Caenorhabditis elegans: one gene and its partners. The protein of the gene in region 2 purifies or fractionates together with the protein of the main gene of each other region. This does not show direct contact. Each region holds a gene or a part of one and is shown on either strand. Other genes may lie near its edges.

Region 1 (3,369 bases), on a different chromosome or scaffold from region 2:
TACGAACCAAAAGTAAAATAGACAAATTGAAGAATCCACGGAAATTTGTCCATCCAGAACTCGTCGAAAACAATGAATCTTGAGCAGTATGTACCACTTTCTCGCAAGGTCCAAAAATGAAATAGTTATTCACACAAGTTTAAAGCTTTTTTCTATACCCTCTCATTTCTGAACTTTTCCTTGACGAATTACCATTTTGTGCAAATGAGGAGCGTCTACTGGAAGCCAAAGAACCATTAGATGTTTCCGAAGGCTGACGCCGCCGTCGTCCCTGAATTTAGTTTTTAAAAAAACTTTAGAAAATAATAAAACTAACCGTTTGTTGACGCATTTGCATCAGAAATACTTAGGTAACCCTGAAATTCTTAAATGTAGAAGAATCAAGAAACTGCAAAAAAATTTCGGAAAAGAATAACAAGTCAGGCCTGTCGTGCCTCCGTCTGTTTGTTTCATATTTATCGAATCAAGATAAGAGACAACGCGTCTGGCGCCTCTTGATTAAATGTGATCTATCACTTATTTAGAACAATAGTGCACTTCACGCCAATTCTTGATCTTTACATGGAATCCGAATTCAATGTACATAATACACTGACATTAATTGAAACTATGGAAATATTCGTTCAACTTCATTAGTTGGTTTTAACATGAAAAGAAAAAACTTGTTTTGATATCTTCAATCCGATCATCGAAGGTAATCAATGATGCCAACAGATTCTTTTCGCGCGAATTGCAAAGAAATTCTCATATAATATAAAGGAAACATGCGAAAGTTCTTTATCTTGCCATCACTCTTATGAAATACATAATCTGAAGAAGGGGGTATCGACTGCATAAGCTCCCAGGCACATAAAAAAATTCGACGAAATTATAAAACAAACGGCTACAAAACAAATCAAAATGGTCTTAAAAATGGTAGGAGAGCGATAAGGAAGAACGAGAGTTGTCTACTGAACGGTACATCATGATAAATCGTTTAATGGTCGTCAACCTTGTCGGCACGTCGAAGAACCTGAAAATTAATAAATATGACTATAATTTGGTAAATTTCTCCACCTTGTAGTCCTTGAATCTGTTCTCAATTTCTGGAGTCTCGTTGAGTCCGATGTTGCATGGATCAGGAATTCTGTTCTGGTAGCGAAGATCATAGAAATGAGCTGGGAAATACTCGACGAAATGCTGACGATCGAAATGTTCAACTGGTGGAGCCTTGGCCCACTTTTCCTCCACCTGGAAAAAGAATATTAAAAATCTTTTCGAAATAAAAGTAATAACCTTCTTGGCCTCCTGAAGTCCATCAGCGACCTTGACCTCATGAAGCTTAATACGGGCGTTGTTGTAATCAACCCATTGGTCTACTTCCTTCAAATACTCGGCTGGAACCTCTCCGTATGGGATCTTTACAGATTCATACTGCTTTTGAAGAGAATCGAGAACTGCCGAATGAGCCGGGAGGGCCTTCTTCAAAGCAGCAAAGTCGATCTTGGGAAGATCGGCCGGGAGCTGGCTGACAGCGGATTGGAAAGTTCCACTGACTCCCTTCACGCGGGTGAGTTCTGCGGCGTGTTCCGGGACCAAACGCTCGGCTGAAATTAAAAGTTAAAACACTAAATTGTGGAGAAGTTATTTATTACATACGTAAAATACCGTAACTTGTGACTTAAACAACTTACCGAGCTTCGACCAGTTCACGGAAGACGTCGCTACCCTCTTAGCGGCTCCAGACATACCTATAAAAATTGTGATGTTTTAACCTTATTTAGATTAACAGGAAAACGATTTTTGAAAATAAAAAGTAAATATGCTTAATTAGCAGGAAAATTGAATCGTTCACAAACAAAGAAACATAGAATAACTATTTTGAGTTGTTTTCAATTTTTAAGTAACGGAATGAACTGAAAAATAAGCTAAAACAGCTGAAAAGCACAAAAAATAGTATTTTCTGTTCAAAAGGGTGGAGTCTATCGCCCGTGAAAACGCAAAGTGCGGCGCGGTTTTCTCGGGTTCCTCGGCCATTTTTATCGGCCCTCGGGACAAAACTCGGCCACCAAAACCGATTTCAGATTTTTACTCTTATTTTATCAATTCAAGAATTTTCCTTATGTTGCTGATTATTTTAGTGGTATCTGTAGTTAAAAAAAAAAACAAAAAAGACATTGTTTCAGTAAAATGATGAACGTCCAACAAGAGCTCGAAGAGCTTATGCTTACCTATGAGGGGGTCTGCGCAATCTTCATCACTGATCACGATGGAGGTCTCATTCTGAATATCGGTAAGTATTTTCATCAATAAAACCAATAATTAATATAAACTTTAAAAATATAACCATTTTTCAGGTCTTCCATCGACATTGGATAATTCTAGATTCAGGCAACAGCTGATTGTCAGTCACGTGACAACAATCCCTCAAATTCACAAACTCGACATGGGTTAGTTATTGACTTCTCATTTTTATTTCTACTCAGTTATGTTTTAGGAGGTCATCAAACAACCTTTGCATTGTACGAGTCCCACCAAATTGCTGTTCATTCTATTGACAAGTATTATTTCATTGTTCACGCTGGAACCAACACGAACACTGGCGCCATGCTCTCTTTGCGTGAGAAATTATTTCCCATCGGCAGTCATATGATGTCACTTTGCCCACCAATTGATGGAGATGCTCTTTTACCACCACCATCGTACCCTTCTGCAGCTGCACCTCCCCCAGATTTCGACTAATAATTATGTGGTGGCTGCTCTCATTTTCCTGTGATTCCATGATTCGATATCTTTACTCAGCTTTTCAAGTTCATGCCAATCTTAAAAAACCAATCTAACTTTTCTTGTTTTCAAATTATCATACCCAATAACCGTATTTCCTGTAAAAACCTTCCCAGTTTTCTATTGATTCTCATCAAGAATAAAATTAAATTGAAAGATCCGTGGTTACAGAACATGCCTGTTTTCTCGTTGGTTTCTGCCAAAAACTATCTATTTTATACATCTCTAACGTGAACTGACTATAGCATAGATCAATCACTCTGATCGTTTTTTTTTCACTGACCGTACTGATCAAAATCATTTTTCAATCATTTCTTTTAGATTTACTCGAATGCAATAAAGTAAGTCTTATCAAACAAAGATATGCTGAACAGAAATTGGAGCAGTTTTTTGTTTAAACAGGTAAACAATATTTTGATTGAAGTGTGTTCAATTATAATACGTTTAGGTTGCACTGTATCGAAACTTCCGTCAAAATTGGTCACGATTCAAGACGAAAGCGTAAGTCAACTATTATGGAGTGAAGTAGGACCAAAAAAGTCTTACCAAAAAACAAAAAAACAGATTTTGATTTTGGACCAAGAACTACAAATTGGAATTTGTGAC
Region 2 (4,816 bases):
ATTTAAGTTGATCAATCAGGAAGTATGTTTTCATCGAAAAATCGTGAAAAACTGACAGCAACAAAAGTTGAAAAAACAAAGGTGAAACTACAGTACTTTTTAAAGGCGCACACTCGTGAACCAATAACACGACCATGTGTCGATTTACGCAGCTCGTGTACTTCTCGAGGAGAAGTGGGAATTCAGTATTCTACAATTTTACTGTTTCCTGTTAAAATTCTAGACTTTGGATCATTTTCGCTGATTTTTATTGAAATAAAGAATTACTAATTACTACTTGAAATGACAGTTAGTTTTTTTTTCAAGATTCGAAAACTTTCAGGTAAGAAATTAGCTGTAAAATGGAACGATGCTATTATTATTTAACGCCAGTCACCTATATACAGAAAGTTTCGCGTAAAGTGGGGTTCAGTAAGCGGATAGCCTCGGGTGAGGCTGACAATAAGTGTGCGAACGTGGTCAAGGCCAGTCAACCGGTGGACAAGAGATGCAATGGATCGGTCGGAGACGCAGATATCTTTCCGTCCAATTGGGAGTGGTCTTGTTGTGTTTTTTTTTTTGCATCGGGGGAAAATTGAGGGCGCTGATTTGATGGGCAGACAATCTCATCAGGAAATCATTCAGATATTATAATTCTGCAGAAAATAATCGAGCAGATATACATTTTCTGGCACAATTCGTCAATTCATTCATTTTACTCCGAACCGTACAAACAAATAACGCTACTCTAAATTAAAATTAATTTTTGGAAAAAGAAAATAAATGAACAGCAAAAAGTTTTCTAAAAAAGTGTATCTGACAACAGATAGAGAGAGAGAGAGACGGTGAACGAACAGCGAAAAGTACATAGGGAATCCGAGATGAGGAAGACGTCATCGTTCACTGCTTACATTCTCCACCACGACATACCAGCGCGAGTAAGGGCGTAGTTGGGGAAGGCTTCTGTGCGACCTAGAAAAGAGAAATTGTTTGCAATTCTCATAATGTAAAAACAACAGCAAGTGGAAAACTACTCACCAACTCCGACAGCAGCAAGATCACGATCGTACACATGTCTTGAAATAGCCTCGCGGACAGCTCCAGCGTCAACCTTTTGAATTTGAGCTTCAAGTTCTGACAACTGTCTGAGATTTCCGGTGTAAAGAAGCTGAAAATAATGAAATAACTATCCATAGCATTTTCTGCAGAGTAACAAACCTCCTTAGCGTTAAATCCAGCCTTTTGTGTGTTGGTCTCGAGGTTCTGGTACAAGTTGGTTCTGAATTGGTTCTTGGCCATGGCGACTTCTTCTTCTGTGGCAGCAGAGGCCAAATGCTTCCATTCGTGAGCAACAGACTTCATGATTCCGCTGGTGTCGTTCAAGTCGTGAGCATCAGCAACAAAGTAGATTCCGAACAATCCAGTGTCTCTGAAAAAAAGAAAATAAAAATTTAAATAAGCTTGCAAAAAAAGATACTTACTTGTAGTTGATGTTGAAATGCTGGAGGTTATGGACTCCGTGGTCGTGTCCGATTTTTTGGACAAGTCTGGAAGCAGCTGTTCTGGATGTAGCGTGGGTCACATCCCATTGGCCTAAAACTCATCAAAATTACGGTTTGAATTGAAAAATTCACACAAAAGCCAACTTACCAATGAATTGATTGGCAATTTGAAGAGCGAGAGCATCTTTGTGGGCATATCCAACACCCTAAAAATGAAGTAAAATGAAAGACTGAACACACATTTATTATTTGTACCTCAACAGCGAAAGCAGCATACATGTGTGGGACATTATCGTTGCGGTATCTGTATTCAGATCCGGTGAATCGTGTTCCATCGACCTGTGGAACCTTTCGTGGGTATTCGTTGCTCAAGTCTCCGAAATATTTATCGGCGAGGCTTGAAACATTGGAAACTCCTCCTCCGACAGCGGACAGAACCATGCGCACTGGTCTGTAATGATCCTCTTGCCACTCCTTCAATTGTTGAGCAGAGATATTCTGAAAAAATAATCAACTTTATGTAAACCCAAATAAATACTTACTGGAATGCTCTCACTGGTTCCGAGAACGCTGAGAGCGAGTGGGGTGCCTTGGAATCCGGCAGCGTGGAGCATATCGAAGAGGACAAGCTGATGATAGTCATCGGAAGCTTCGAGCTCTTTGAGAAGATTAACTCTTTCGGTATCGATGGTTGAGGCCTCAAGCTTGCTGTTGCGGAGAACATCGGCGAGGATATCGACAACTGAAAATTTTGGAAAATTAACACAATTTTATAAGTTACAAATATTTACCTTTCTCAACATCTTGAGCTCCAGCTTGGACAAAAACTGCGGTTTGGTCACGCTCAGTGAACGAGTTGAGTTTTGCTCCGATAGCATTAAGCTCGGATTCGAGAGCAGCAGATGCTCTCTTTCCAGTTCCCTTGTGGATCAATCGCTCGAGGAAATGTGCGACACCGTTGTTCTTCTCGTTCTCAAAACGAGATCCGGTCTCGATCCAGACTCCCACCTACAATTTAAAACAAAAGAAATTTTAGAAAACTAGTGGGCAAAATTACGGTAGCGGTGGCGGATCCATTATCTTCGGTGACAACACGGAAGCCATTCTTCAAGGTGGTAACTTCAGCTTGTGGAGCGCTGGCAAGCACGTCCTTCACGGAGACAGCTGATGAAGCATTGCGAACCTGAAAATTAATTAATTTAATTAGATTTTCTACATTATCATCGTTGTTACGTTCTCCATGCGACCTGTGGGCATACAACTTTCAATTTTATTTTCAATTAAGAGTTTTTATTTCTCTTTTAGCAATCTCACAAGAAAATTACCTGGCTATTGAGAGCCGGACGCAAAGCAGAGCTGACGGCGAGTCTGAGAGCCATTCTCTCAAGTTTTCCCCTGTTCTCTGAAAATAAAAATATATAAATAGGATATTAATCGATAGATAAAAATTCAGAGAACATTATTTTAAATTGAAAAACTTGAAAAAATATATCTGAAACTCGAAAAGAAGCTGAAAACAACTAAAACCATCAAGCCGCCCAGCAGTGCAGAGACGCAGACAGCGGAATCGCTTCGAGACCCACCGAAAGTTTAAAGGCGCACCCGTAAATCGCTCCATACTTATTCCGAATATATTCTGCGAAATTCTGTCTTTTGTTCCCAATATCTCTATATTTGCTGATTTTCTCCTTTTTCAACTAGTTTTCTTAATTTGTCATACATTTAATCCATTTATCCTGCGCGTAGCTTTTCGAAATACCTAATATTTTCGTATAACGCTTTATAAAGCCACTTGAAACTCTAATTTTCCTATTGAAGGAGAAACTTGCGATGTCTTCGAGACACCGATTGGATTTAGATGGCAGCGGACGCGGAGACAGAAGAAGGTAAGTAAAATTGTTGCTTCCCCAGTTCAATATAATAATAATAATTTATTTTCAGATCTCCTAACCGCAGATCCCGATCCCGCTCCCGATCGCCACACAGACGCTCCTCCCCCGACCGGAAAAGACAGATTGGGGCAGTTGGAAATATGAAGGTATTTTTTAGTAAACGAATTTTTGTTTCTCATCTCCAAATTTACAGATCCAAATCAATCCATACAACAACCAGCCATTTAGTAACCGATATTGGGCAATTTGGGAGAAAAGAAGTCAATTGCCAGTATGGGAATATAAGGAAAAGTTTATGGAGCTGCTCCGGAACAACCAGTGCATCACTCTTGTCGGAGAAACGGGATCCGGAAAGACCACGCAAATCCCACAGTGGGCCGTCGAGTTCATGAAGCAGCAGCAACAAGGACAACCACCCGGTCAAGCGAGATTGGTGGCTTGCACACAGCCTAGACGGGTCGCTGCGATGAGCGTTGCGACAAGAGTTGCTGAGGAAATGGACGTAGTTTTGGGACAAGAAGTGGGATACAGTATTCGTTTCGAAGACTGCATCAGCGAACGAACTGTTCTCAAATACTGTACAGACGGTATGTTGCTGCGAGAAGCAATGAACAGCCCGCTCCTCGATAAGTACAAAGTCCTTATTCTCGACGAGGCTCACGAAAGAACACTCGCCACAGATATTCTTATGGGACTGATCAAGGAAATCGTGAGAAATCGAGCTGATATCAAGGTCGTAATCATGTCCGCTACATTGGATGCAGGAAAGTTTCAAAGATATTTCGAGGATTGCCCGTTGCTCAGTGTTCCCGGAAGAACATTCCCTGTTGAGATCTTCTTCACTCCAAATGCGGAGAAAGATTATCTAGAAGCCGCGATCAGAACTGTAATCCAAATTCATATGGTCGAGGAGGTTGAAGGTGACATTTTACTGTTCCTCACTGGTCAAGAAGAGATCGAAGAAGCTTGCAAAAGAATAGATCGTGAGATTCAAGCCTTGGGAGCAGATGCTGGAGCACTCAGCTGCATTCCGTTGTACTCTACACTTCCCCCAGCAGCACAGCAGAGAATCTTCGAACCAGCACCACCAAATCGACCGAATGGAGCAATCAGCAGAAAGTGTGTCATCTCTACAAATATCGCTGAGACATCATTGACTATTGATGGCGTTGTCTTTGTTATCGATCCTGGATTCTCGAAGCAAAAAGTGTACAATCCAAGAATTCGTGTCGAGTCGCTGCTTGTTTGTCCCATTTCGAAAGCTTCTGCTATGCAAAGAGCTGGACGCGCCGGAAGAACAAAGCCAGGAAAATGTTTCCGGCTTTACACCGAAACGGCTTACGGATCAGAAATGCAAGATCAAACATATCCTGAAATTCTTCGGTCGAATCTCGGATCTGTTGTGCTGCAGCTCAAGAAGCTCGGAACCGAAGATCTTGTGCA
Region 3 (3,552 bases), on a different chromosome or scaffold from region 2:
GAGTTTACTGAAAACGTAACATTTACAGTTACAGTACCACAGAAAGGCTGATAATTTTTCACCCTAATCAGCAATTTAGGTGAAATTTATTACAAGTGGAATGCTTACAATAGTATTGAGAAAATTTTTTACCTACCTAAAGGTTGCGTCTCTCTCTCCGAAACTTGTAGAAGAATGGCTGCTCACTCCAAACCGGAATTATCTGTTGTTTTGGATGCATAGTTTTTAAAAGGCAGGTCTTAAAAATCCAATCCCTAACTTCTCTGCATGCACAAACTTTAAAAGTAGCTACAGTAATATTTTCACATGATAACCTGCATTAGGAGTGTTAACCCTAACCACAAACTTTATCATTGACTATGTGTCTAGTTACAATGACCAAACAACTGTGTGTGTTTCTTTAATAGGATTCTAATAGAATGTTAAATATCTAATGGCGAATTCGTGATTTCAGGTGAATTTATTTAGTTCCGGACACAAGCCTAAACAGAAAGTTCACAAAAGTTAGTCATGATGATCTTTTATCTTCAGTTGCAAACTTTTTCTCCACGGTTTCATGATTTTGAAGCTTCTTTTTATTTTAGAGATATCAAAATGTTGTCGATCTACTTACTCACTGCACAAAAAGGTTATTATGTAGTTTAAAATAAATTTTCGTTGGGCAGAATGAGGGATGATATATTATTACTGTTTCCCGGTATCCACTTGATGAGCATGCGACCTCTCTGTCCAGAAGCCAAACTTTCAATAACATCTACAGTATGTACTGTATTTTGCAATCACTTATAAAAACTGAAAACTGAGAAGAACCATAAATCATACATTTCCCGCATGTTTCTACTCAATTGATAACCGGATTATCACATTTCTTTACTATTACTATGAAATGACACGCAGTTGCAACAAACTTCAAATATTTGATAAGTTTCAGTCAATTCAGCAGAAAACGCACCAACACACATGTTCTGCTTCAGGTGAAGGAAACACGTAAAAAGTCACGTGGCTTATTCAAATGTTCAAATGAGTCGTATTTTGCAAAGTGTATCGAAATGCTACGCAATGTAGTGAATAATATAGTAAGTTAAGTGAAACCTACAAATCATGTATACAATTTTCAAAAATTTCCATATATTCTTCCCTGCGTACAATTCGAGAAAGGAGCAATCTACTTTAATGGTTAAGATTTTTTCAATCAGTAGCTTCAATAGTGTACTCTATTGCTGTTTAGATACGTCTTCAAATAAAGTTTATTTAAAAAATATGTTTTCTCTATTGTAATAGTTCTATAATTTCAAAAATTATTCCAATTAGCTACATTTCAATAAATATCAAAAATTCTACGCTTCTTAGTTGAAAATCTCCAATTACATTCGCTGTTTCATATTTAACATACGTTTCATTAAATCTTCAGGCATTTTTTAACCTTCGCCAAGATGGCCTAGTTTTTCCCGATGGCCGCGGACTAGCCATTAGGGGATGCAAACACGCTCCGTTGGACGACGGGCGATCTCGATTTTTATTCACCTTTTTTTAACAAAAAATCTCTGTTTTCAACTGTTTTGGGAAGTTTTTTCAGTTAATTTTCGTTATTAAAAATTGAAAAAAGTATTCGACTATATGTCTACGATTTTTACTATTGTTTGTTCCCCAAATACAATCTATTCCTCCGATTTTTTCATTTATAATTCTTAATACACATATTGACCTTCTAAAAATCAATCAAACAATGTTATCATTTCAGAGGGTAAGATGTTGGCTCGTACTATCCAAAGATTCTCGGTTGTTGCCAAGCGCGGATACGCCGCTGCCGCTCCAGCTGCCAACGCCAACCCAGAGGAGCTTCGTCTCACTTTCGCCTCCCCAGACACCGTGAGTAAATATTATTTGAAAACATTATTTGAAAATCAATTTACAGGCTGTCTTCAGCAATGCTGTCGTCAAGCAGGTTGATGTGCCAACTTTGGCCGGTATGGTTGGTGTTCTTGCCAATCACGTCCCAACCATTGGAGTTTTGAAACCAGGAGTTGTCTCTGTCACCACAAATGAAGGTTTATTTTGCAAAAATAAATTGTATTATCACCAAAGAATTTTTCAGGAACAGTTCAACGCCTTTTCGTCTCTTCGGGAACCCTCTCCGTGAACATCGATGGATCATGCCAAGTTCTTGCTGAGGAGGTCCTGAAAGTTGAAGAAATTGATGAGTCTGCTGCCCGCGCCGAGCTTGATGCTGCCCAAAGAGCCTCCGGAGAAGGAAGCGAGGTTGCTCGTGCTGAAGCTCAAATTCGCGCTGAAGTAAGTGTTCGAAAAAGTTTTAAAAACCAAAAAAAAATACAAGAAACGAATATCGTTTGGTTTCAGCAAAGTTAAGCATTTCGTAATATTTTTATTATCAAAATGATTCTGTGCTTCGATACTAAAACTGAGACCAGGACATAAAGTTGAGGGTCATAAAAGTAGTTCTCTGAAATGAATATGTCTTTAAGTTTTGTTTCAAAACAAGGGAATTTTTCAGGTTGCTGAAGCATTGATCAAGGCCGCCACGAACCAGCAATAAGGAGTATGTTGAGAGTAGACCCTTTAACTTTGGTAAATTCCTTTTTAATTTGATCCTAGGCACATCGTCAATTTCTCTCGATGCTGCTTATAGGATATTATGTACGGCCCTCCCTTTTTTTGTTTTCATTGTTCCATCGTTTCCAATAAATTTCGAGACTTTTAGTTTTTGACTTTTATTTTTCCAATTTTCTGATTTAGTGATATTTATAGTAGAAATGAACATTCGATCCTTCATCCAAGTAATTATATCAAACAAGAGAAAATTCTGAAAATGTATGTAAACTGGAATACCAATTCCATGAGTTTAAAACAATTACAATCTACAGCAATACGTACCCTAAAATGAAATAGAATTAGTATTTCCTTATGTTTACCAAAAAACGGAAACCTCGGGTTCGATTCAATTCATGCGCTAATCGAAAATGGTTGTTCAAAAAGCGAAATTGAACGAAAAAAATCGTAAGTGATGATGCCATTCAGAAGAATCTGCAACATTTGAAGAGGAAACCCAAGGAGGATTCGGCTTTTTCAAAGTGATGAAAGTTGAGATACAAATTGGAATTGTCTTTTTTATCGACAAACCCACTTTAAATGCCATTTACAGACACGATGGGAGGATAGACAACAAACTTCAAAAATCATATGAACACTTTTCTGAATCAAAATAATTATTCACCAATTTTCCACCATTTTTAGTAAATAGCTAATATTAGTTTGAATATCAAACTTCTTTTATTAAAATTGGAGCTTTATTTATTCAAACCTTCGCAAAATTGATTTGGTTTCTAAGAACTTCAAATAAAAAGTATTCTAAAAATGTTTAGCCTATTCCAAATACCAATGTCACATAATCTTATAGATCCGTCGCCACACTCAATAAAATTCTTCGTTAGAAAGTGTTCGGAATAGTGAGAATGGATTCGATTCCATATCTGTGTACATGTACAATTATGTCGGTTTCCGTTAATTGAGAAAAAGAATTCAGGAATTGAAGAG

What was found. Proteins that work in one complex are often made in the same cells at the same time.
Region 1: the proteins of ucr-1 (region 2) and atp-5 fractionate together in Caenorhabditis elegans (co-fractionation; one large-scale study listed by BioGRID). This does not show direct contact.
Region 3: the proteins of ucr-1 (region 2) and F58F12.1 fractionate together in Caenorhabditis elegans (co-fractionation; one large-scale study listed by BioGRID). This does not show direct contact.

What each region holds. Positions count from the first base shown.
Region 1 is NC_003283.11:11,122,138-11,125,506, forward strand, and holds atp-5 (ATP synthase subunit d, mitochondrial), read right to left. Parts: upstream 1,731-3,369; 5' UTR 1,729-1,730; coding exon 1,674-1,728; intron 1,587-1,673; coding exon 1,276-1,586; intron 1,231-1,275; coding exon 1,057-1,230; intron 1,013-1,056; coding exon 977-1,012; 3' UTR 764-976; downstream 1-763. Other genes in the region: mboa-2 (O-acyltransferase), read right to left, coding at 8-110, 159-271, 317-337; lmtr-3 (Late endosomal/lysosomal adaptor and MAPK and MTOR activator 5), read left to right, coding at 2,173-2,272, 2,337-2,429, 2,477-2,721; strt-7 (Phosphatidylcholine transfer protein), read left to right, coding at 3,127-3,165, 3,212-3,264.
Region 2 is NC_003281.10:5,590,202-5,595,017, reverse strand, and holds ucr-1 (Cytochrome b-c1 complex subunit 1, mitochondrial), read right to left. Parts: upstream 2,861-4,816; coding exon 2,807-2,860; intron 2,665-2,806; coding exon 2,539-2,664; intron 2,490-2,538; coding exon 2,273-2,489; intron 2,224-2,272; coding exon 2,024-2,223; intron 1,980-2,023; coding exon 1,737-1,979; intron 1,688-1,736; coding exon 1,630-1,687; intron 1,579-1,629; coding exon 1,461-1,578; intron 1,409-1,460; coding exon 1,198-1,408; intron 1,148-1,197; coding exon 1,018-1,147; intron 952-1,017; coding exon 887-951; 3' UTR 693-886; downstream 1-692. Other genes in the region: Pre-mRNA-splicing factor ATP-dependent RNA helicase ddx-15, read left to right, coding at 3,312-3,367, 3,423-3,519, 3,567-4,816.
Region 3 is NC_003280.10:6,381,904-6,385,455, forward strand, and holds F58F12.1 (ATP synthase subunit delta, mitochondrial), read left to right. Parts: upstream 1-1,741; 5' UTR 1,742-1,749; coding exon 1,750-1,869; intron 1,870-1,915; coding exon 1,916-2,048; intron 2,049-2,095; coding exon 2,096-2,292; intron 2,293-2,512; coding exon 2,513-2,554; 3' UTR 2,555-2,789; downstream 2,790-3,552. UniProt on the Caenorhabditis elegans protein: Mitochondrial membrane ATP synthase (F(1)F(0) ATP synthase or Complex V) produces ATP from ADP in the presence of a proton gradient across the membrane which is generated by electron transport complexes of the respiratory chain.